4 linked regions of the Oryzias latipes genome follow. The protein of the gene in region 2 binds, or shares a complex with, the protein of the main gene of each other region. Links are inferred from orthologs where the notes say so. Each region holds a gene or a part of one and is shown on either strand. Other genes may lie near its edges.

Evidence for each region. Proteins that work in one complex are often made in the same cells at the same time.
Region 1: the proteins of mtor (region 2) and mlst8 are in contact, whole or in part, in a crystal structure (PDB 4JSV), measured with the Homo sapiens proteins. The link is inferred for Oryzias latipes from reciprocal best matches to the Homo sapiens genes MTOR and MLST8. Residues at the interface, in NP_001373429.1 of Homo sapiens: Leu2269, Arg2270, Met2271, Ala2272, Pro2273, Asp2274, His2277, Leu2278, Thr2279, Leu2280, Met2281, Gln2282, Val2284, Glu2285, Val2286, Glu2288, His2289, Asn2292, Asn2293, Glu2536; in NP_001186102.1 of Homo sapiens: Tyr20, His22, Asp42, Ser43, Gln44, Val45, Asn46, Tyr62, Asn87, Glu105, Gln148, Thr174, Arg221, Tyr222, Leu224, Ser268, Arg270, Gly271, Trp272, Trp274, Ser290, Lys313, Val316.
Region 3: the proteins of mtor (region 2) and rictor are in contact, whole or in part, in a cryo-EM structure (PDB 6ZWM), measured with the Homo sapiens proteins. The link is inferred for Oryzias latipes from reciprocal best matches to the Homo sapiens genes MTOR and RICTOR. Residues at the interface, in NP_001373429.1 of Homo sapiens: Arg1028, Asp1032, Lys1068, Leu1069, Asp1108, Asp1109, Tyr1110, Asp1150, Lys1187, Asn1196, Val1200, Gln1207, Asp1210, Val1211, Cys1214, Arg1215, Lys1218, Gly1219, Tyr1220, Thr1221, Leu1222, Ala1223, Glu1226, Glu1227, Asp1228, Leu1230, Ile1231, His1234, Arg1235, Arg1238; in NP_689969.2 of Homo sapiens: Leu204, Arg205, Gly206, Asn209, Arg245, Asp247, Val248, Glu249, Glu251, Arg252, Leu254, Thr258, Asp259, Phe260, His261, Tyr262, Arg263, His264, Ser265, Pro266, Asn306, Gly308, Ser311, Gly314, Val315, Cys317, Ile318, Pro319, Glu345, Ile347.
Region 4: the proteins of mtor (region 2) and fkbp3 are in contact, whole or in part, in a crystal structure (PDB 5GPG), measured with the Homo sapiens proteins. The link is inferred for Oryzias latipes from reciprocal best matches to the Homo sapiens genes MTOR and FKBP3. Residues at the interface, in NP_001373429.1 of Homo sapiens: Glu2032, Tyr2038, Phe2039, Gly2040, Arg2042, Tyr2088, Val2094, Leu2097, Tyr2105, His2106, Arg2109; in NP_002004.1 of Homo sapiens: Lys160, Pro161, Leu162, Ser163, Lys170, Tyr198, Lys201, Gly202, Gln203, Pro204, Asp205, Ala206.

What each region holds. Positions count from the first base shown.
Region 1 is NC_019877.2:3,130,788-3,135,716, forward strand, and holds the start of mlst8 (target of rapamycin complex subunit LST8), read right to left. Parts: upstream 3,085-4,929; 5' UTR 2,836-3,084; coding exon 2,707-2,835; intron 2,194-2,706; coding exon 2,142-2,193; intron 2,072-2,141; coding exon 1,909-2,071; intron 1,837-1,908; coding exon 1,761-1,836; intron 1,685-1,760; coding exon 1,532-1,684; intron 1,449-1,531; coding exon 1,324-1,448; intron 1,242-1,323; coding exon 1,078-1,241; intron 114-1,077; coding exon 1-113. Other genes in the region: meiob (meiosis-specific with OB domain-containing protein), read right to left, coding at 3,721-3,834, 3,918-4,004, 4,097-4,283, 4,357-4,501.
Region 2 is NC_019865.2:1,196,223-1,200,386, forward strand, and holds part of mtor (serine/threonine-protein kinase mTOR), read right to left. Parts: intron 2,937-4,164; coding exon 2,769-2,936; intron 1,666-2,768; coding exon 1,553-1,665; intron 661-1,552; coding exon 498-660; intron 53-497; coding exon 1-52. UniProt on the Homo sapiens protein: Serine/threonine protein kinase which is a central regulator of cellular metabolism, growth and survival in response to hormones, growth factors, nutrients, energy and stress signals.
Region 3 is NC_019867.2:18,765,417-18,770,092, forward strand, and holds the start of rictor (rapamycin-insensitive companion of mTOR), read right to left. Parts: upstream 3,085-4,676; 5' UTR 3,067-3,084; coding exon 3,018-3,066; intron 2,893-3,017; coding exon 2,845-2,892; intron 583-2,844; coding exon 485-582; intron 1-484. UniProt on the Homo sapiens protein: Component of the mechanistic target of rapamycin complex 2 (mTORC2), which transduces signals from growth factors to pathways involved in proliferation, cytoskeletal organization, lipogenesis and anabolic output.
Region 4 is NC_019882.2:10,164,033-10,168,973, forward strand, and holds fkbp3 (peptidyl-prolyl cis-trans isomerase FKBP3), read right to left. Parts: upstream 3,085-4,941; 5' UTR 3,054-3,084; coding exon 2,949-3,053; intron 2,840-2,948; coding exon 2,738-2,839; intron 2,667-2,737; coding exon 2,568-2,666; intron 1,830-2,567; coding exon 1,694-1,829; intron 1,619-1,693; coding exon 1,551-1,618; intron 1,481-1,550; coding exon 1,383-1,480; intron 579-1,382; coding exon 524-578; 3' UTR 351-523; downstream 1-350. Other genes in the region: fau (40S ribosomal protein S30), read right to left, coding at 4,256-4,381, 4,497-4,552, 4,664-4,808, 4,886-4,941. UniProt on the Homo sapiens protein: FK506- and rapamycin-binding proteins (FKBPs) constitute a family of receptors for the two immunosuppressants which inhibit T-cell proliferation by arresting two distinct cytoplasmic signal transmission pathways. PPIases accelerate the folding of proteins.

The DNA.
Region 1 (4,929 bases), on a different chromosome or scaffold from region 2:
GAGCACGCTGTCGTTGAAGGCCAGACACACCACGGCCTTCTGGTGGCCGCTGTACTCCCTCTTGATTTCGCCGGTCTCGACGCACCACAGACGAGCGAGATTGTCTGAAGACGCTGCGGAACAAAAACGCGACTTTACCTCCATTTTTCTGCTTCAACTGATTCCTAACATTAAAGAAACAGCTGGATAATGATAAAAACCGGGATTATTACTCCGCCCCGCAATAATCCTGGACTACGACGACCAGATTGGAAGGAAGTTTTTTTAATTATTATGGGATGGCCACAGGTGCCACGGCTTGGTGGTCACTGTGTGGCAGAGAGTGACGTTTGGTGATTTTCACATTCGTCTACAATTTATTCTACAATTTACAATTCAAAAGTCTTCAACAAGAGCTGAAGTTTCATTGACCTTTGACCTCGGGAAGAAGCTGCCATCTTGAATTTTGTAAAAAAATACATATTTATCCCGTTTAGTCCCAGCTACAAATTTAAACTCCTCCTAAGAATCGCCTCCTGACTCCTGGAGCGGTGTCCTTGGGAAACTAATTGGAATTTTGGAAATAAAGTTTGTGGATTTTGAACGGCGAGTTCACAAAAGTGGCGATTTCCTGTTGTGGGCGCATTTTTTACCGGAATATTGAGAAAATGGAGCGCACCTCTGCTCAAGCTGAACCAAACGATATGACAAACAATATGAACATATAAGAAATGTGGGTGTGGTTAACAAAAATCCTACGTTGCTAAGGAAATCCAAAAATCTACTTTTGCAGATTCTTCTAAAAATGACCGAAACCTGTTCGTCACCCCGCGGTGACCAAAAACTGAAATGGTTGCCATGGAGATAAAACCATCAGAAAAGCCGCACTTTTGAATAAAAGTGTTCTCTTTCATGAATTTGTGACCAGACTGGCAGAAGGGGAGGGTGAAGGCGGTTCAAAAGGGGGCAGTGTCCTCTGCAGGTCATGCAACGCCGTTTACGGCTTTAATTTTATATTAAAGTTTGCTAAAACATGCCATTTTTAACTTTAAAAACTCAGCGGGACAAGGGGACAGACCCAAAGGTGAAGGTACGCACCTGTAACGATGTACTGCGAGTCTCCGGAGAAGGCGCAGTCCCACATCCAGCCTCGGGACGTCTCCCCGGGGTTGTTGCTTTTGATGCTCAGCTCCGTCATCAGGGAGAAGTTGGACGTCCTCCAGATCTTGCAGGTCTGATCCGCTGAGCAGGTGGCCAGTAGTCTGGAGACATTCAAGGAGAAACATCAATGAGGTTTTTTTTCTGTTTGGCCTCACGTCAGGCAGAAACAACAAAAAGCCTCACGTGGAGTCGGGGCTGAACTTGCAGCGCAGCGAGTATCGTTTGTGCGCCGGGATCTTCGTCTTTGGAATGAGCTGCGTCACTTCGTCTCCCATCCCTCCAGCCAGGTTCCACACGTAACAGTTTCCCTGTTGGGGGGGGGAACAGGAACCTCACTCTAGTTTCTCTCCAACCCCAGTTTTTGCGTCCCATGTTCAGTTTGGGGACGCACCGAGCTGTTGACGGCTGCCATGTAGCTGGCATCGGGGTCGATGTGGACAGAGTTCACCGAGACTTCTGGCTCTGGAATCAGCTGTTCGTTGTGGTCCGTTTTCAGGTCCCAGATGTGAATCACGCCACTCTGATCCCCAACAATCAGCTCCGCCTAAAAGAAAAATCACAAAACGCTGACAAATCTACAGATAAATCCACATCAAACACCTGTGCAGCTTTGAGGATACCTGATTGGGATGAAGACACACACAGTTGATGGGAGCGTTTACTTGGAAGATCCTCTGACACTGCAGGTTTCTTGACCTGAAAGGAGGAGGGTTGATAACAGCAGAGTGGATTTCTGCCGGGGTGTGCGGTGGAGGTGAACCGCCGTACCTTAGGTCCCATATGCGAGCCATGCAGTCCTCTCCTCCGGTGTACATCCAGCGTCCGTCCTCATGGAAGCCCACGGAGGTGATGTTCTTGCTGACTCCGTCGTAGTTGATGACGGGGTTTGGGTTGTTGGAGTTCAGGTCGTACATGCGGATGTGCTGATACCCTGCAGGAGGAAGAGGAGGAACGCGCAGTGAAACGCCGCGCAGCCTTCAAATGGGAGAGTTTGGACTGACCTGCGGCGGCGATCATGCTTCTGTCCGGGGTCACTTCAAGGGAATTCACTTGCTGAAATGACGAGTTAAAGGCCCACTCCGAAAGTCGCGTTTTTGAGGTATTTAGCATATATATGCCTTTTATAGCATTTTTCTACAACAAAATACATATTATGTATGAGAATAATGCTGTAAAATATTAAGCCTATTGCATTTAATTAACAGTTGATGGTTTTATTTTTAGTGTGTGTGGTGAATCAAACAAAAACAAAACAAAAACGGATTATGTCAAACAAGTTAGAGCAAAGGTCACCTGTATTTTATTTTTATTTAACATAATACCGTTCCGTAGTAAAATTATTATTAAAAAGTAAAAAAAAATTACACTAATAAATTTGTAAAAGTATAAACAACAATAAAAATGTAAAATTTTACGAGACTAAAGTCATAATTTTGTTTTTCAATTCAGTAAAGCTCCGAAATTGGGGGCCATTTCGTCAGGTTGGGGTGTGAGCGGCTGTAAGCCAGCGGTAGCGCATGTAAACAGAGAGCTCTCACCGAACCGTTCTAACCAGGGAAAGGATACCGAGTCCTGATGCTGCACCGTCCGGGTACAGATCCCGCTGTGGGCCTGCCAGAACCGGACTGTGTGATCGTATCCAGCCGTGGCCAGGATAACCGGGTCGCTGCCCACCGTGCCCTGGTTGACATTCATGCTTCTCCGCTAGTGTGTCACGGTTACAAACAACACCAGAACCCGTCAGTCCACTTAGTTACATCTGACGAACTCGGTCCAAACGATCGGCCAACGACGTCAGCTCAAGCTTTTTGAAGTTAACTCTTTTAAAGAAAAGCCGTTTTAAAAATATCTGAATGTGAGAAAACATCTAAAAATCTGATAAGAATTCGCTTTACAGATTTCCTGAAGCCATCATTCGCGACTGCGGTACGTCTGACTAACGCGTCCCCGATAAACACAGAAGTGTGTCAAACGTTCCGCTTTGAAAAAAAAATTGTTTAAATGCAGGAATGCAACGATGTAAAATAATAATAATAAAAAATAAATCATAATAGAGGTAGAATCATAAAATCGCCTTTTCCCACACTCTTTCAGGTAATTAATCAACTTTTATTTGGCAATCATTACAATAAATGTGCAAATATGTCTCCTTATGATTCAGAGTAATATGTCAAAAAATATTTAAACATATTGTTTTATTTCTTTTTAATCATTTTTATGAATTCAAAATTTTAATACATATTTTTCTTTTTTTATGGTTAAAATTGCTTTAAATAAAGCATTTATTGTCGCTACATAAAATCTACATCATTCTTTTTATTTTAAATATACTTTTTTTTATAACAGTTGCTTTTGTTTTTTTTTTCTTTTTTAATTGTATTTTGTGATAATAAATCAGAATTTTTTTTCAAAACACAACTTTATTAAACAGGAACAATTTAACGCCTTTTTTTAAATAAATCAATTTATATCAATAAGTTAAATAAATAAGAATAAATAAATAAATAACAGTTGAAGCATCTGTTTACATTGTAATTAGCGCAGAACAAATGTAAATAGAACAGACTTCGCATTGCTGGTTCAAAGCTGCTGCAGAACAGCCGACATATGCTGCTTCACCTCTCCTGGGTCGGCCGGAGAGCAGGCCAGGATCACCCCCCTGATGCCGCTTTTCGTTCTCGCAGAGGGAAGGATCTGCGGCAGACGATCTCATGAACAATAAAAACACATCACAAAGACAAAAAAAAAAAAAACATGCCTTTTGAAGGCTGGAATACCTTCAGGTATATTTTGCATCTTTCCAGAAGAAACTTCCACTTGAGAGCGGTGCGCTGATCATCGGTCAGACGGATGAACTCGTCCGTCTGGAAGCAGGCAGCAGCATATTTAAGAGAAGTCTGTGGATCTCAGCAGTTTGGAGCTGACCCCCCCCCTCAGCCTCTGAGGAGTTACCGACCGAGCAGCCGAGCGTCTGCTCCGCCGTGGCGCCCCGGAGGCTGCAGGCCTGCAGCGTGCCGGTGTGGTCGGTCAGGTCCACCAGCAGGTCGAAGCCTGTGGTGCCTGAGAACGGCTGCTCCCCGCCCGGACACAGCTGGTTACCGCAGCTCTGCATGTCCGCCGTCAGCAGGAACCTACATTTAGAGCTGAAAAAAGCCCAAATCGAAGCACGGACAGATGGAAGGAAAGAAGGAGGCCGTGACTTTGGTGCGATCGTACCAGCGGGTCTTGATGACTTTAGAGGCAGAGGAGTCCAGGTCCAGCTTGGAGATGAAGCTGTAAGTCAGGCCGAAGAAAGTCTCCGGTTGCTCCTTGGCCTTCAACTTCAGCTGGTTGACGGTGTAAACGTCAGTGATGGAGTCCACTGCAGGCAGAAAACAAACACAAACACGCAAAAATGAAGCCACAAAAAACAAACAAACACCAACTCTTATCAACAACCGGGTATGGAGTCTGAATGATTTACCTTTTGGTTTACGGATCCTCTTAATAATTATTCAAATGTATTATATTTAATAATAAAGCATTTAGCTTTGTTGTGGAGTTCACCACAAAGTGACTGATTAGAATTTTAGTTTAAAGACCTCAAATGTGATTTTTCTTTTATTAGACACAAAAAGACAAGACAACAGAGGAAAATAATAACATCCTTTTAAATATGAATGATATAATTGAGCATCTCTGTCAAATACTCTTTAAAATGAAACTTTTCAAAAGCATTTGTGGTGTTTTTGTTTGTTTTTATGAAGCACAAACTGTCCTACTAACAGCAGTGAATCCCTTAAAGGGCCC
Region 2 (4,164 bases):
TGATCCTGTGCTTCAGCATCACTTTGTTCACCATGGGGATAAATATCTGGTACTGAAAATAAGCAGAAAGAGAGGCCATGTAAACAAAGACTACACATGCTTGATGCGGTGGGCCCAGCTACAGTTTTTTCCTTTCTCCATAAAGTAAATAGAGGGCCATGCGGCACTAACATGCAACCTCCATGAGTGACGGATCAAAAGCCTTTCCTGTGGCTTTGCTGCCAGTCATGACTGGAAGGAGGCCTGGTGGTTCTGAGGTTAGACCTCAGGACAATAAAAAGAGTGAAGAGGAGAAGGGTCTTGAGAGCCCAGGGTACATGTGTCCTCATCCACTCTCATAAACAACACCCCCTGCTGGCAAACAGTCTGTGACATCATTAGTCTGGCAGGAAGTAGCAGAGACTGAGGAGGGTTACGGAAACCTGGTTCATGTCTGGCCAACAGAGTAGAGGCCGGCCTACAGAATAACAGCACACTCCAGGGACCAATGTGCCTACCTTCTTTCCCAACTGGAAAACCAGTGAGGACAGGGTGTCCATGGAGGTGGACCGTAACTCAGGAGTGCTGTCAAGCGCCCTAACGATGGGGTGAATGATGCGAGAAGCGTAGTCTGTGAAGTCCAGGGACTCCGTCAGCCTGTCGAGGGTCTCCAAGGCAACCCTGAACCACACAAGAAAACAGGAAACCGATCCGGTTCACATGAAAACGTGCTCACAAACAGAGCTATCTGAGGCGCTTTAGCGCCGCTCTCTACATGAAAGAACAGGAACCACCAGGAAACGCCTGCTTTTAGCTCCGTATCATCCACACCTGGTTCTTCTCACGTCACAGTTTACTTTCATTTACAGCGTTCCCTCGTTTTAGCAGGCATACGTCCTAAAAATGACCCGCGACCGATGAATCTGTGAAGCAGCATAGATGTTTAACTCAACGCTGCACACTTTCTACACTCTTCTCAGGCAGACCTCAACATTTTCCACACTTTTCTCTTTTGGTTAAAGACTCTCAAAGTTCAAACCTTCATGGAAAAAACCGTCCAGAAACATAGATCTGATCATGATCGAAGATTTAGCCAATGACACGGATTGATTGACAAAGTCTACAGCCAATCAGGACACAGAACGCAATGCAAAATTAAAAAACAATAATAAAAGGATCCAACATTTTCCAGAATAAAAGTCTGTGAAAGAGCGAGACGGTGAAAGGTGGACCGCGATACAGCGAGGGAACACGGCATTCCTATGGAGCTGTATTTATGCCGCCGCGTTGCACACAAAACTCTTCAGGTTGCAAATAAAAATATTAAATATTTGCTGTCAAATTATTTTTCTTTGCTTTCAATTTTTCTTTTCCGTTTGATGGCAGCTTTGTCAGCTAAACAAACTTATGAGAGCAAAATCAAAGATAGGAAAACAGCGAGATGAGTCACAACGCATGAGAAAACATTTGTGTTGCAAACGGAAACATTTTATTTGAAAGCAAATATTTAATATTTTCATTTGCCACTACAACGTGAGATGTCACTCCATATGGGATGAAAGTCAGAACTCACTTGCGGGCCTGCAGGGGAACGTCGGGGGCATCAAATAGTTTGACAATGGGGGGCAGCAGCAGGTGAAGGTAGTCGTCCAGGTTAGCACCAAACAGCTGGATGGCATTTAGCAGCTGCAAGAACAACATGGATGAAGACTCCAAACCCCCCCCCCCCCCACACACACACACACCCCTCACCCGCCCCCCCCCCACGAGGAGTCAAAGGAAGAGTTAATGACTCTAAAGTCATCCAAATCCTGTAAAAAGTTCAATATATGGTTTGAAATAAACTCTGGTTCATCTGGTAAAAGTGATATGAGAGGAGCAAAGGATCATGGGAAAACTTTCCAGAACAGTATAGGCCTTTTTGGTTCTACAGTAAAAATCCTTGTGTGAAGAATGCAGACACTCTGGGGTCTTAAAAGGATGACGTATGCTGCAGACAACCCCCCTCCCAGCATCTCTGCCCCCCCCAGCAGCCTATGTCTAAAGGGCACATGGCGAGACGGCAGGAAGCTGAAGTGAAGGCGTACGAGTATTTATGGATATGCTGTAGGATGGGGGGGGTGGGGGTGGGAGCTGAAAAAGATTTGAAAAAAATGGAAAAGTTTGTTTTCCTTTTCCTTTGGACCAGAACCTGACACCCCCTCTGCCGCCCCCGTGAATCCATGAACTGCAATTACAGACTCTGCAGACCAGACAGAACCAAACGGATTCCCACAAACTCCAGTAAAGCTGCAGTGCTGCAGGTCCATGGAGTTTTTACTGATGCACTAAAGCTGGGGGTTGGTGGGGGGGGGGGGGGGGTGACTGGCTCTGGTCAGAGCCTCAGTAAGTTGGCGGTAAACTGATCTGTGGTTCTGCAGGAGCATGGAGTGAAGGAGGACCATTTGAAACTGTTCTGGACGGAATCTGCAAAGACCTGTATTGACGTTTTGGAGGTTGAACCTCATGGATGCATCTTAGGACTGTTACGGGTCACATGCAGGCGGGAGGAAGGGCCCCCACAGGACTGCTGTGCATGCTGCAGGTCCCTGCTGGGGTCAGTTCCAACAGGGAGCTGCTCAGCAGGCATGTTAGTCTCGGTGACAGGAAGAAGGAGAACCGACCTACTAAGGCTCAGTGCATAGATCTATACACGGACAGATACCACAGTTGGAGAAAACCTCACAGGACCGTTAGAAAACACAGCTCAACAGCAGCAGCACAGAGCTCCAGCACGCGGAAACACCCACCTTGATGGTTACGCTGCGGCCGGTGCTGTTGTCGTGCATGAAAACGCGCAGCATGTGTGGGATGAGCTGAGGCAGGTAGAGCTTGAACTCTCCACCGAGCGCCACCACAATCTGCTCGATCAGGAGGATGATGGTGTTCTGCATGGGGTTGTTGGGAGTCCAGTACTCCTGCAGCACAGAAGCCCAGTTCTGGTGTCATTTGCTGTGTTCTTCAGTGTTGAATCACACAAACATTAGTTTAACATTAAATGCCAACAGCCTGTGATCTTTCTTCATTCCCCTGTCCCGTTTACAGCGGGAGACGGACCAGACCAGCATTTGGTAACAAACCTCACAAAGACAAAACACAACCCAACGCCAACGGCAACACAACCCGACACAAACACAACCCACACCCTTCCAGCCTGGATCCACACAACTGCAGGAGATCCTCACAAGATGCTGAGACGCTTCTGTGCAAACTTAAAGGCAGGATTGGATCCTTTCAGTTTATTTTTGTCTTGCTGTTGAGGATCTTGAACCCTGGGAACCTGCTGCTTCTTTTCTTGGTTCGATCACATTGACGCACAGCAATGCCTCAAAATAAACGCTTCAATAAAATCAACGTAAAGAGAATTTCGTACTTTGAAGTCTTTCTGTGTGTCTTAATACTTTAACATTTACATAGAACTTCAGTGATTTGTTGATTTGAAGCTATTTTCAGAGATAAAAATAAAGGAAAAAGACTATAGAACTATCAAATCCATTTAAGATGTTAATTTATAGATTGATTGGAGGGTAAAAAAATAAAGAATAAAGCCTTGGAGAGGTCTTCATAACAGATATTTGTCCATCAGGGTGACGTCAAAGAAATAGAGATACAAGAAGAAAAGTCAATTAGTCTGCATAATTGTGGGATAGATTAGATGTTGGAGCCAGACGTCGTCAGCAAGTAGTGATTGGTCTGAGTCGCTATGAGTCATCAATTCTATGGCCACCACTTCTGGCCAATCAGGAGTGAGCTTGTTGGAAGGCCACACCCCTACCACTTGAAGGTGGGCTACACAAAATCTGTCAAACGTTCGATAACTTAAACTACAGAAAAAATATTTATGAAAAAAAATGAGGATTATCAAGATGTTCAGAAAAGTTAGATCCAGAACGGTTCTTCTGACCATTTTGGCTTCTTGAAGCCACATCCTGTTTGGAACGCCAAGGGGGAGGGGCCTCTCAGTCCGGTTCTCACATACAGTCAGTGCTCCTTAACAGACGAACAGTGTGGAGTTTTTTCCAAGGGGGGGGGGGGGGGGGGGGTTTCGGCCAGGAGGAAGTTTGAGTCTTGGGTCAGTTTCTTTTGTCTTGGGTGATCATCCTGAAAGGTGAAGCAGCGTCTTTTTTATGGGAACCATCGAGGAGC
Region 3 (4,676 bases), on a different chromosome or scaffold from region 2:
GTTAAAACATTGTGCTATTAAAGGTTGGTCTGAGCCTTTCTAAAGTCTCTTCAGAGGTGCTCTGAAATCCCTGATCTTGTTCCAATTTAGATGGACCTAAAACTGTCTCCATCTCTTTAACAATTTTGCCACCGGAGTCAGATAAGTTTAGGAGAATCTTCACTTTTGCAACAAATATTAAACATAATCCAAACATACTGAGGAATAGGAAAACAAATTGAGAAACAAGTTAGGGTTTACAGTAAAAAAATATATATATTATTTTAGTTTTATAGCCAGCAGGTTATTCTAGTTGAATAGAAGCTTATGATGCATTTCTATCCCCAGAGCTTTTTTTTTTTTTTAATCTAAACTGTGGTATAAACCTCAGCAGGTCAGCAGCTACATTTCAGAGGAAGAGTAGTTGATCAGTCATTCAATATATCTACAGTCATCTTCCTTAAAAAGCTGCATGTGGAGCAAAAAAATGCTGCAGCATTCTTACCTTTATGAAGTTGTTCAGGTGGCCCAGTTTTCGCATGTTGCTAACTCCGTGTGGTTTAGCCACATTTTGAAGAATTTCCCGGAAGTTTTCTGATGGTTCTAGAGGGAAACAAAAAGACCATTTCAGTGGACAAAATAGCTCTGTGGTTACAGGAGAAAAGGAAAGGGCTATCAATTAGTTTACTAGTTTTACGTTTATGCAGTCAAAACTAGACCTTTATAGCAAAAAGCAAAGTCGAGCAAGTTAGACTTTGCTTTCCAACAATTCATCTAATGTTAATTATTTGATAAAATATTAAAACACTTGCGAGGTTATTTCATATGTAGACATCTAATATCTGTAGAAACTAATGTCAGATATACCAATCAATGAAGAAATCCATTTCACAAACACGTAAATAGACCATCCTAATCCCAGATTATGTTTTAAATTGTCTTATATTATCTCTCCATAAAAAAAACTGATATTTTAACAAGATTTAGAACTTCAAATACAAAGGGGGAAAAATCCGTACAGCTACAAAACAAAACAATAGAATACCACGAAAATGGTTTAACTGAGGTTGACATTTAAGAAGATTTCCTATATGATGCTAAGATAAAAGTATCAAAAGCAAAAAGGCAAACAAGCACTGGTGTATAAATATACCTTAAACTTTAGCTTCTTATCCGTGAAGCAAAAATCGATCAATCGTTTAAGAAACAGTGGTGTTATTGCATTATAAACGTTCCTGGGGGGTAATCCAGGAAGCATGTTTAAACTACCCTGACTTTAACCCTGAACTCTGGCTGAAATCTCAAATTTACATATTTTTCTAACTAAATGTCATATTACTCCAATTCAATTAAATGTCTTTCCATCTTAATTTATTGTATTTCTTGAACTCTCATATGTCTACATTTGAGCCTGTAGATATTCTCATTTTTATAACATTAAAATGAATGAAACAATATAGATTCACAACACAAAACTTAAAGTCATTTATCCTTTCTCTGACTTTGACATTACAACACTGAGCAGTAGGGGTGCTAAATAACCTCATCATTCTCTCCCTCCCTCTCACTCATGGTGCAGAAAGAATTAAACACAACAGGACAAATAACTCGGAAATACACAGTAAAACAGATAAACAACTAAACACATTTGGTCAAAAACCCACACTTAAACCCAAATCCGTCCAGACAGGCAAAGGGAATGGTATCCCACAATTCCTTGCAGCGCCGATCTAACAGCAGCACCAAAGTTACACCTACTTAATTGAATTAATTTGAATTAAAGTAAAATAACTGTCTGATAACTTAGTGTTCTTTTTAAGCTCATGTAACAAAAAGAATGTATCTTAACTGAAGCAAATAATTAAGTTAGATTAATGTAAAAAAGTTCATCTTTCCAACATCCATACGTGGTCTTATCACCCTCTCATGGTGGAAAAAGTATTATCTGAGCTTCTTCATCCACTAAATCATCTTCAAATGGACACTGCATGCTCCTTCACCTCTCTGAAACCAACTAACCTTCAACTAAACCTGCTCCAGACCAGGTTATGTTCAGAGCATGAGTTGCTATAGCAACTTCACATACCCTGAAACATACCACTGTTTTTGGAACCAAAAGCTGAGGCTATCCGCTTCCTTAGCCTCAAACTTATCGTGGTAAATAGCATAACCTACTTTCTGGAATACCCCCCATCAATGGTTGAGTTTGTTCCAGTAAGATACGTTTTATATAAAAACCTAAGCTGACAAAAAACACAAACTATGTTCGTAATCGTTTTCCTAATTTAGGACCGAAATGTTTCCATCAGAACTCGTTGATCGTGCTTTTATCGTGAGTCAAGTGTGCCTAGCAGCCGCAAAAGGTTCCAAACAAAGAAAACAGCCGCTGGTTGGTGTAAACAAACAAGCAGACAGTGCTGTTGCTAGATGAGCAAATTTAACTCGGCTGAGCTGTGAATAAAAAAAAAAAAGCCCGTATGTGCATTGCTCAGCAAACCGGCTTAAGCTCAGGGTTTCTGACAGCCAGCGGAGCCTCGTGTATTAATGCAACTCTAATGGCTGTCTCGCTAAATAGCAGGCTCTGCAGCCCACTCACGCCTACCAAAACAACAGCGCATCGTCATGACTGGTTAGCTGTGGCAGCCAGCTAACGCTAAATCAGCTAGCTAGTTAGCTCCCTCTCGCCTGTTTATAGCCACAAAGGAAGATTTTTGAACAAAACAACAACAAATAAAACGTTTAATTAAAAATGCATCCACGTGGCAATCTCGTGGTTCATTTAGAGGTTCGTATATTTTGTGCATAAAGTCAACCATAATCCATTTTGAGCAATAATAGCTTTTAGAATGATGAGCCTCTGCTTACCTCTACTCAGATCCAGCGGTACGTTCTCCTCCCCGCTGTCATTCCGCCCTGACAAAAACAAACGCAACGGAAACGCTGAAGGACAAATTCAATGCTATGTTTTGTGGGAGACGTGCTCTTATTGCAATACGCTGCCATTCCAACAAATTATGAGCTGAGTTTTTCACGCTTACCTCGCATCCGAAGACTCCGGATAGGACGGCCGCGGAAGCTGGCCGCCATGTTTCCAGGAACATACACAACACCGGAAACTTCGCGGAATGTCGCGAGAACACGGACATCAAACGCAAATCGCTGCGGTGCAAATCACAGATCTGGGATCAGGCGAATCCCAGTTAATCCCTTAACCTCCAACGGCAATGAAAAAATAATCTGACCTGGCGACTGAACGACAGAAATAAACAGTTTAGTTAGCAGCAGTATTCGAGTTTTAATTGCAAATGTAATATTTATTTATTAATATTTTTCAGCATGACCAATTTGCTAAATTTGTTTTTATAAAAACAAATCTTAGTTTTTTTGTTTGAGTTTGTGTCATGGTTCATGTTTTCATGTATGATTGGGATTTAGTGACAGGAATAATTTGTGCAAAATGTTTTGTAATATGGTTTAAACGTATGTTTTTATCCTAACTTTAGGGAAATATTTAAGTTGAAAACAAAAAATAATATGTTCTAACTTGATTTAAGGCAAGTTGTGTTATGTTAAAGTTATTGTTACAAATAGGAAATATTCAAAGAATAAATAACAATAATAAGTACAACACAAGTAGTGCACATAATGGACCTGCTTAGAGGATTTGGACATCACTGCAGCTCCTTTTTCTGCACACATATCAGCAAAAACATAATTCTTTCATCTTCTCAGAGACTATTTTTGTTCAAACCCAAAGGGATTTTTGTTGCATTAGCCTGCTTAAATGATTTTGCAATTACAGAAAGACCTTGACCTACTTTTTCATTCCAACCTCATGAGTCTTGATCATGAGTCTTGATGTCTGTCGCTGTATAGTTTATGACAGCTGGTCCCACAGAGCTTGTTACTTGAGTTCATAGAAGTGTACTCTAAACGATGAACAATACATGAATTATTTTTAGCTTCTCTCTTGAGTAAAAAACGTGTTTGTTTTTACTAACGTTGTGATACCAAAGACTTCTTTCATGCAAAAAATTCAAGACGTGTAAATTACAGAATAACTGGTTCATTAAAAAACAGAGGTACCAAAAGTAAAAGACGAATGTTTCAACATTTTCAGTTGTTATATTATCATTTTTTTTTAAAAGCTGCAAGAAAACTCAGGTTGCTATGACCACATTAACCACTAGATGGCGCTAATGCTTTACGAACACAAACCAAGACAGAAAAAAGATGGCCACTTAACCGGATAATGATAAATCATGTTATAAAATGGTTACGGTAGAACAGGGGTGGGTTTATATAAGTTCGCTTCCTTCCACTCCCTTTCAAGCAATATTTATTTATATGATTAATTATCCAAAGTTTGATTAGTTGTGGTACGAATCTATAACTGATGATTGTATTGTTTTTATGTATTATTCCTATTTGATTGCTTGAAATGAACCATTTCAATTCAATTCAACTTTGGAAATGTGTTGAAAAATCACTAATCCTTCCTCTTGAATGTTTATCACAAAACCTATTTATATTATGTTCACAGATATGTCTTCATTTCACTTCCAACTTTTATAAATGTCACCCGCGTAAAAGCGCAAAATAATCCATCAAATGCTTTAATAGGTGGTTTCTTTCACCTCTCACTTAAACCTCATTTTGAAGAACTTTTTTGCAGTTTCACTAGTCTGTTTTTCCCT
Region 4 (4,941 bases), on a different chromosome or scaffold from region 2:
AGGACAAAAGGAAAACAATGCAAAATGGGTTGTGGGATACCAGAGGAGGTGCAATTTTTTTTTTTTTGCTTTCTTCCTCACCCTGGTCAGTTTGCTTTGGGAAACACTGCCCTCCAATGGACTGATGCTGGAACTGCAGTTTTTCCCGAGCAGTTTACTCTACTTTCATTTTTGGTTTGCTCTTCTGCTGTGTGAGAAAGCCCTAGCTTTTGAAATTAACCTAGTATTTTTCCCACATTCTTTTTTTCTATTACATGTAGATAACAGATTGCATTTGTAAAAATACATATATCTGACTTGGATTGCTTATTTTGGTGATCCATACATAAAAGAAACCAACTGAAGGCTTTGTCTGACAGAAAACAACTTTATTAGTTCAGAGTTTGTAAACAAAATAAAATGAGGTTGTTTTTTTTCCTGGTATGGCCCAGCTCTTTTTTTCGGGAGGCTTCATGCTGGACATTTGGGCCAAAACTTCCACCACAGCGATCCGTCGGCCTAAGCGAGGACCTGCGCAGAGCGGTCAGTCCACGGACACCAGTTCAACTTCGAATATCAGCTTTGCGTTTGGAGGAATTCTGGAGAAGAAGGAGTTCAGGCGAAAACAAACCTTCAGCATCATCAAAAAAACATCCCTTTGGAGTTAAATCATAGAAACTGATGCAATGCAGAAGCAGGCCTGGACGAAAGACACAATTCTCTCAGCTTCACTGTCTGTTGCAAAACGTATGAAATTGAGCTGCAAAAGTCTCAGGTTTTGATGGTTTCACTTCAGAAGAGTCTTGTGTAAAGAACTGTGTCCTGTTCCTTGAGAGCTACTGCCCTGCTTGTTTTACAGCTAACTGCTGCAGTAAGTCCTGATTGGCTGGACTGAGTGAGCCCAGTGTCTAATCGACTGAATACACCTGATCCAGGTGAGCAGTGATGATTGGAGCAGGCTTAGCTGCAAAACAAGCAGGGCAGTATCTCACAAGGAACAGGGTTGGAGATCCCTGGTAGATGTTTGTGGTTTAGGTCATTTCCCTGCAGGAAGATGTCCAACTGACACCACATTTTTGATACCGAACCGCTCATTTTTCCTCAAAGCGCCGATCCCGAGGTTTCCGTTTCCATTGCCATTGAGTTGGAAAGTTCTTCAGAGGTCATTGTGGGTTTTCTATTAGACTCAGGTTTTTTAGGGACGTATGGGTAGCATCCTTTTCATATGTTGGAAAAGAGCAGCTACAGAAAGAGGCTTGGAGCAAGATTCAAAAGATTTACACCGCTTCAACATTTCTCACCCCAAAACTCTTCCAACTACTTTCACTAGTAACGGGTTGATACTAGAACCCTGTCATCCATGTCTGCACACTTCAAAATAAAAGTCCAGCAGGAAAGGATACTTGGAGTCTGGCAGGCCTTTCTTTCCGTACGCCCACTCTGGTTCAATTTCCAGCCGTGCAGTTTCCCCCTTGCTCATGGTCAGAAGGGCTTCGTCCCACTGTGGCGACAGCGGGTGACAGACAGGTCAGTCAAAGAGCCGTGAATAAACAGAGAGAAGGCAAACGTACCCCTCTGATCACTCTCCCCAAGCCGACTTTGAAGCTCAGCGGCTTGGTCTGCCTCTTCTTCTTTGCCGCTATGGAAACGAGAAAGCAGTGACGATGGAGCCGCGAGCGACTCTGGAAAAGTCAAGGCCCACAGTTCCTGGTACCTGCGGGGATGTTGGTGTCGAAGACAGTCCCGTCCTCCAGGCTGCCCGTGTACCAGCAGCTCACCGTGTCGCCCTTCTTCGGGATGTTGGTCTTGTCACCTTTTTTCAGGGTGGATTTGGTGTATTTAGGGGGACCCTGAAACGAGACGGACACCGTGTGAAAACTCACATTAACTCCTCATGAAGTCAAATAAATAGATTAACCCATCACTTGGGGGAAAGTGATTGGCGTTTGGAATTGCAGGATTTTTTTTCCCTGACAGTTCGATCTGTTTCGGTCTTCGGTTTCAATTCTGAGACCATCACAACATGAAACCAACCCGAGTGCTGGACTGTATATGAGAATTGGATTGAGTACCCGCTGACTCCAAGAAGCCAAAATCCCATAGACGTCTCTAGAGAAATAAACAGCTTTTACTCAGTCAGTCATTCAATTGGTCAGAATGACCATTCTTGCTCTGATACCTTTGCTATAACGTCTTCTTAATAAAAGACGTTTTCACGGACCACTCGGATGCCTTGGTAAAAATTTGTGGTCTCACGCTGTAAACATTCAAAGCATTTGATTGACAGATCGACATTCTCTCAAGCCTGTTTCAAGGGGTGGGGGTGTGGCCTTTTAACAAACCCCTTCCTGGTTGGTGAGAAGGGTTGCCATAGAAACATTGACTCTTCCGGACTCGGGACAATCACTGCTTACTGCCAATTTCTGGTTCCAACATGGCGACAGCCATATTCTGGAAGAAGGGCGACTGAATTGACCTGGTTTTGTTGGAGCTGGAAGTAAGATATTTTCTATGGGTGTCATCAGACTCTCTCCAGTTCTCATTTACAGTCAATGGTGGAATTTGGGATAAATCAAAGCAGATATTACCTCATCCACAGGCTCCGCCTTCACCTCTTTGGGCTTGTCTTCGATTTTCACCGCCTTCACCTTCTCTGTCAGCTCCTCTGGTTCAGTCCCTTTAAACCTCTGAAGACATGTTTGTGTTTTTGAATCAAACCTTTATTAGTCTGCGGCACAAACTCACCCGCCTCTCTCACCTTACTCTCAAACAGCTGGTTGTAGGCGACCACCAGCTGCTCTTTATTCGCCGTCTTGGTGACATTTTTTATGTTTCCCAGCAGTTTGTACTCAGAAAGGAACTGCAAGACAATAATTACATCATCATGCTGCGACGCGCTGAATCATAACAACCGCTCAGCAGTATCACAGCTATAAGATAGTAAACCCTCGAGCGCGTAGTTTTCCTACCGTGTGAGTCGCGTGGTCCTGTAAAAACTTTATTAAGTCCTTTTTGGCCACACTGTCACTTCTGAGCTGCTCGTCGGTCCACTCACGCATGGGTTCGTCCGCCATCTTTACTGCGGGTCAGTCCAGCGTCTCTCTGATTGGTTGTGCACGTATACGTCATCCCGTTGACAAGCTTTCAAAATAAAAGCGTGTTTTTGTGATGTAAAAGATAACTGTATTTTATTAACTCAAAAGCTATCCACAGAAAGAGACAAAATGGCTATATTTCTAATTATTAACTTATTTGATTAACCAATAACATTTTTTAACCCTTGTGCTATCCTAGGCATTTTAACGTTGGGAGTTGGGTCATCTAGACCCACTAGACAGTGCTCTGAACCTTTTTTCTTCAATGATTTGTGATCTTCAATGGTGTCCATGGATTACATGAAATCTTTCCACCTTTATCCACCTTTGTCATGGTATGGAGAACATGTCAATGGAAGGGTGGGGTCATCTAAGATAGCACAAGGGTTAAATTGTTATACCAGTAATTTACAAAGTTATCCCTGCCATTTAGGTTTTTGTTCTTAGAAATTTTTTTTCATTTAAAAATCCACTCACAGAAAGGAGCAAAAAACATTTGCAATAAAACTACTTTCAGAATAAAATAAGGGATAGCTTTCAATTACATCTTTATCTCTTATTTTATAGGTCAAGTAAAAATGTGTTTAAATCATTGCTTTTTGTCATGTTAACAGGAAATTAAAATAGCAATTACATTACTAGGAATATGATACTTTCCATTTTCATAAAAGATCTCATTTGCTAAAGTTTAATCTTAATTATCTCAATTGCAGATAAAAGACTTGTGAATTTTAGTGCAGACAGCCCTTGAGTTTGTTATTTAGGAGATCTGGGTTTATAATGCAGCCTCTAAAGTGAAACACCACTGAAGTTCATCCAGATGTTTCTGAATTCACTTTATTTTCTTTATGTCATTTTTTTAACTGTTGATTTTGGACACCAAAACTTTCCAAACAGACACAAAACATGCTACAGGGCGATTCTGCCTGAATTTTATGTATGAAGTGTATCCTCATCTTGATTAAGAAATAAGAGAATTGAACTTGAGCAAAACAACTAAATTTGAACTGATTTCCTACTCCGAACCAGAAGGACAGAACCATTTTTGAAATGGCTACTCGTGTGGAAACTATTAAAGCAGACGATAGCCGGGGAAGCCAGAGCAGCGTTTTTATTCTGTACAGAAGATGTCAAGTGAAAACATCCAGCTGTGCCGGTCCACCTCCAGGTCACACAACCTCTTAGGAGTTGGCATTGGGCCCCTTCTTCTTTCCAAAAGTGGGAACTACGTTGACGAAACGCCGGTTGTACTGAATGCGGCGCTTGGCGCGGCCGGTCTTCTTCTTCTTTTTCTCCTGCTTGTCCACCTGGACAACACAAGAACTGAGGGTTAGGAACGAGAGCATCAAGCGCCTCACAACATCAGCTCCAAAACGATACAAAACCCCAGGTTGAATTATATTTGGCTTAAAAAGCTCTCACCTTAGGAGTCTGTCCTCTCACTTTTCCAGCACGAGCCAGAGAGCCGTGCACTTTACCTGTTCGGAGGACAAAAGGTGGTCTTTGATTATTGAACTCTCTTGTTTATCTGAGAATTGTGCACAAAGCCACACAGAATGAGAAAATGAAGGTTTCATCTTTCTTCTGACCTCCCAGCAGCCTGCCGGCCACCTCCAGGGTGCAGAATTCTGAGACGCCACACGACACGAGGGAGGCATCATCCTCCAAAGGACAGCCAGTGAGCATCAGCACCTGATCCTCCACCAGGATTCCCTCCAGAGTTTGGACATGAGCCTGAAAGAAAACCAAGTCATGGTTTCAAGATTCCTCCACCGGAGGCGTCGTTTTGGTAAATTCAGGTGCTGAGTTACCTTGATCTGGCCAACCGTCTCCTCTCCGGTCACCTCGAGGGTGTGAGTGTTCTGGG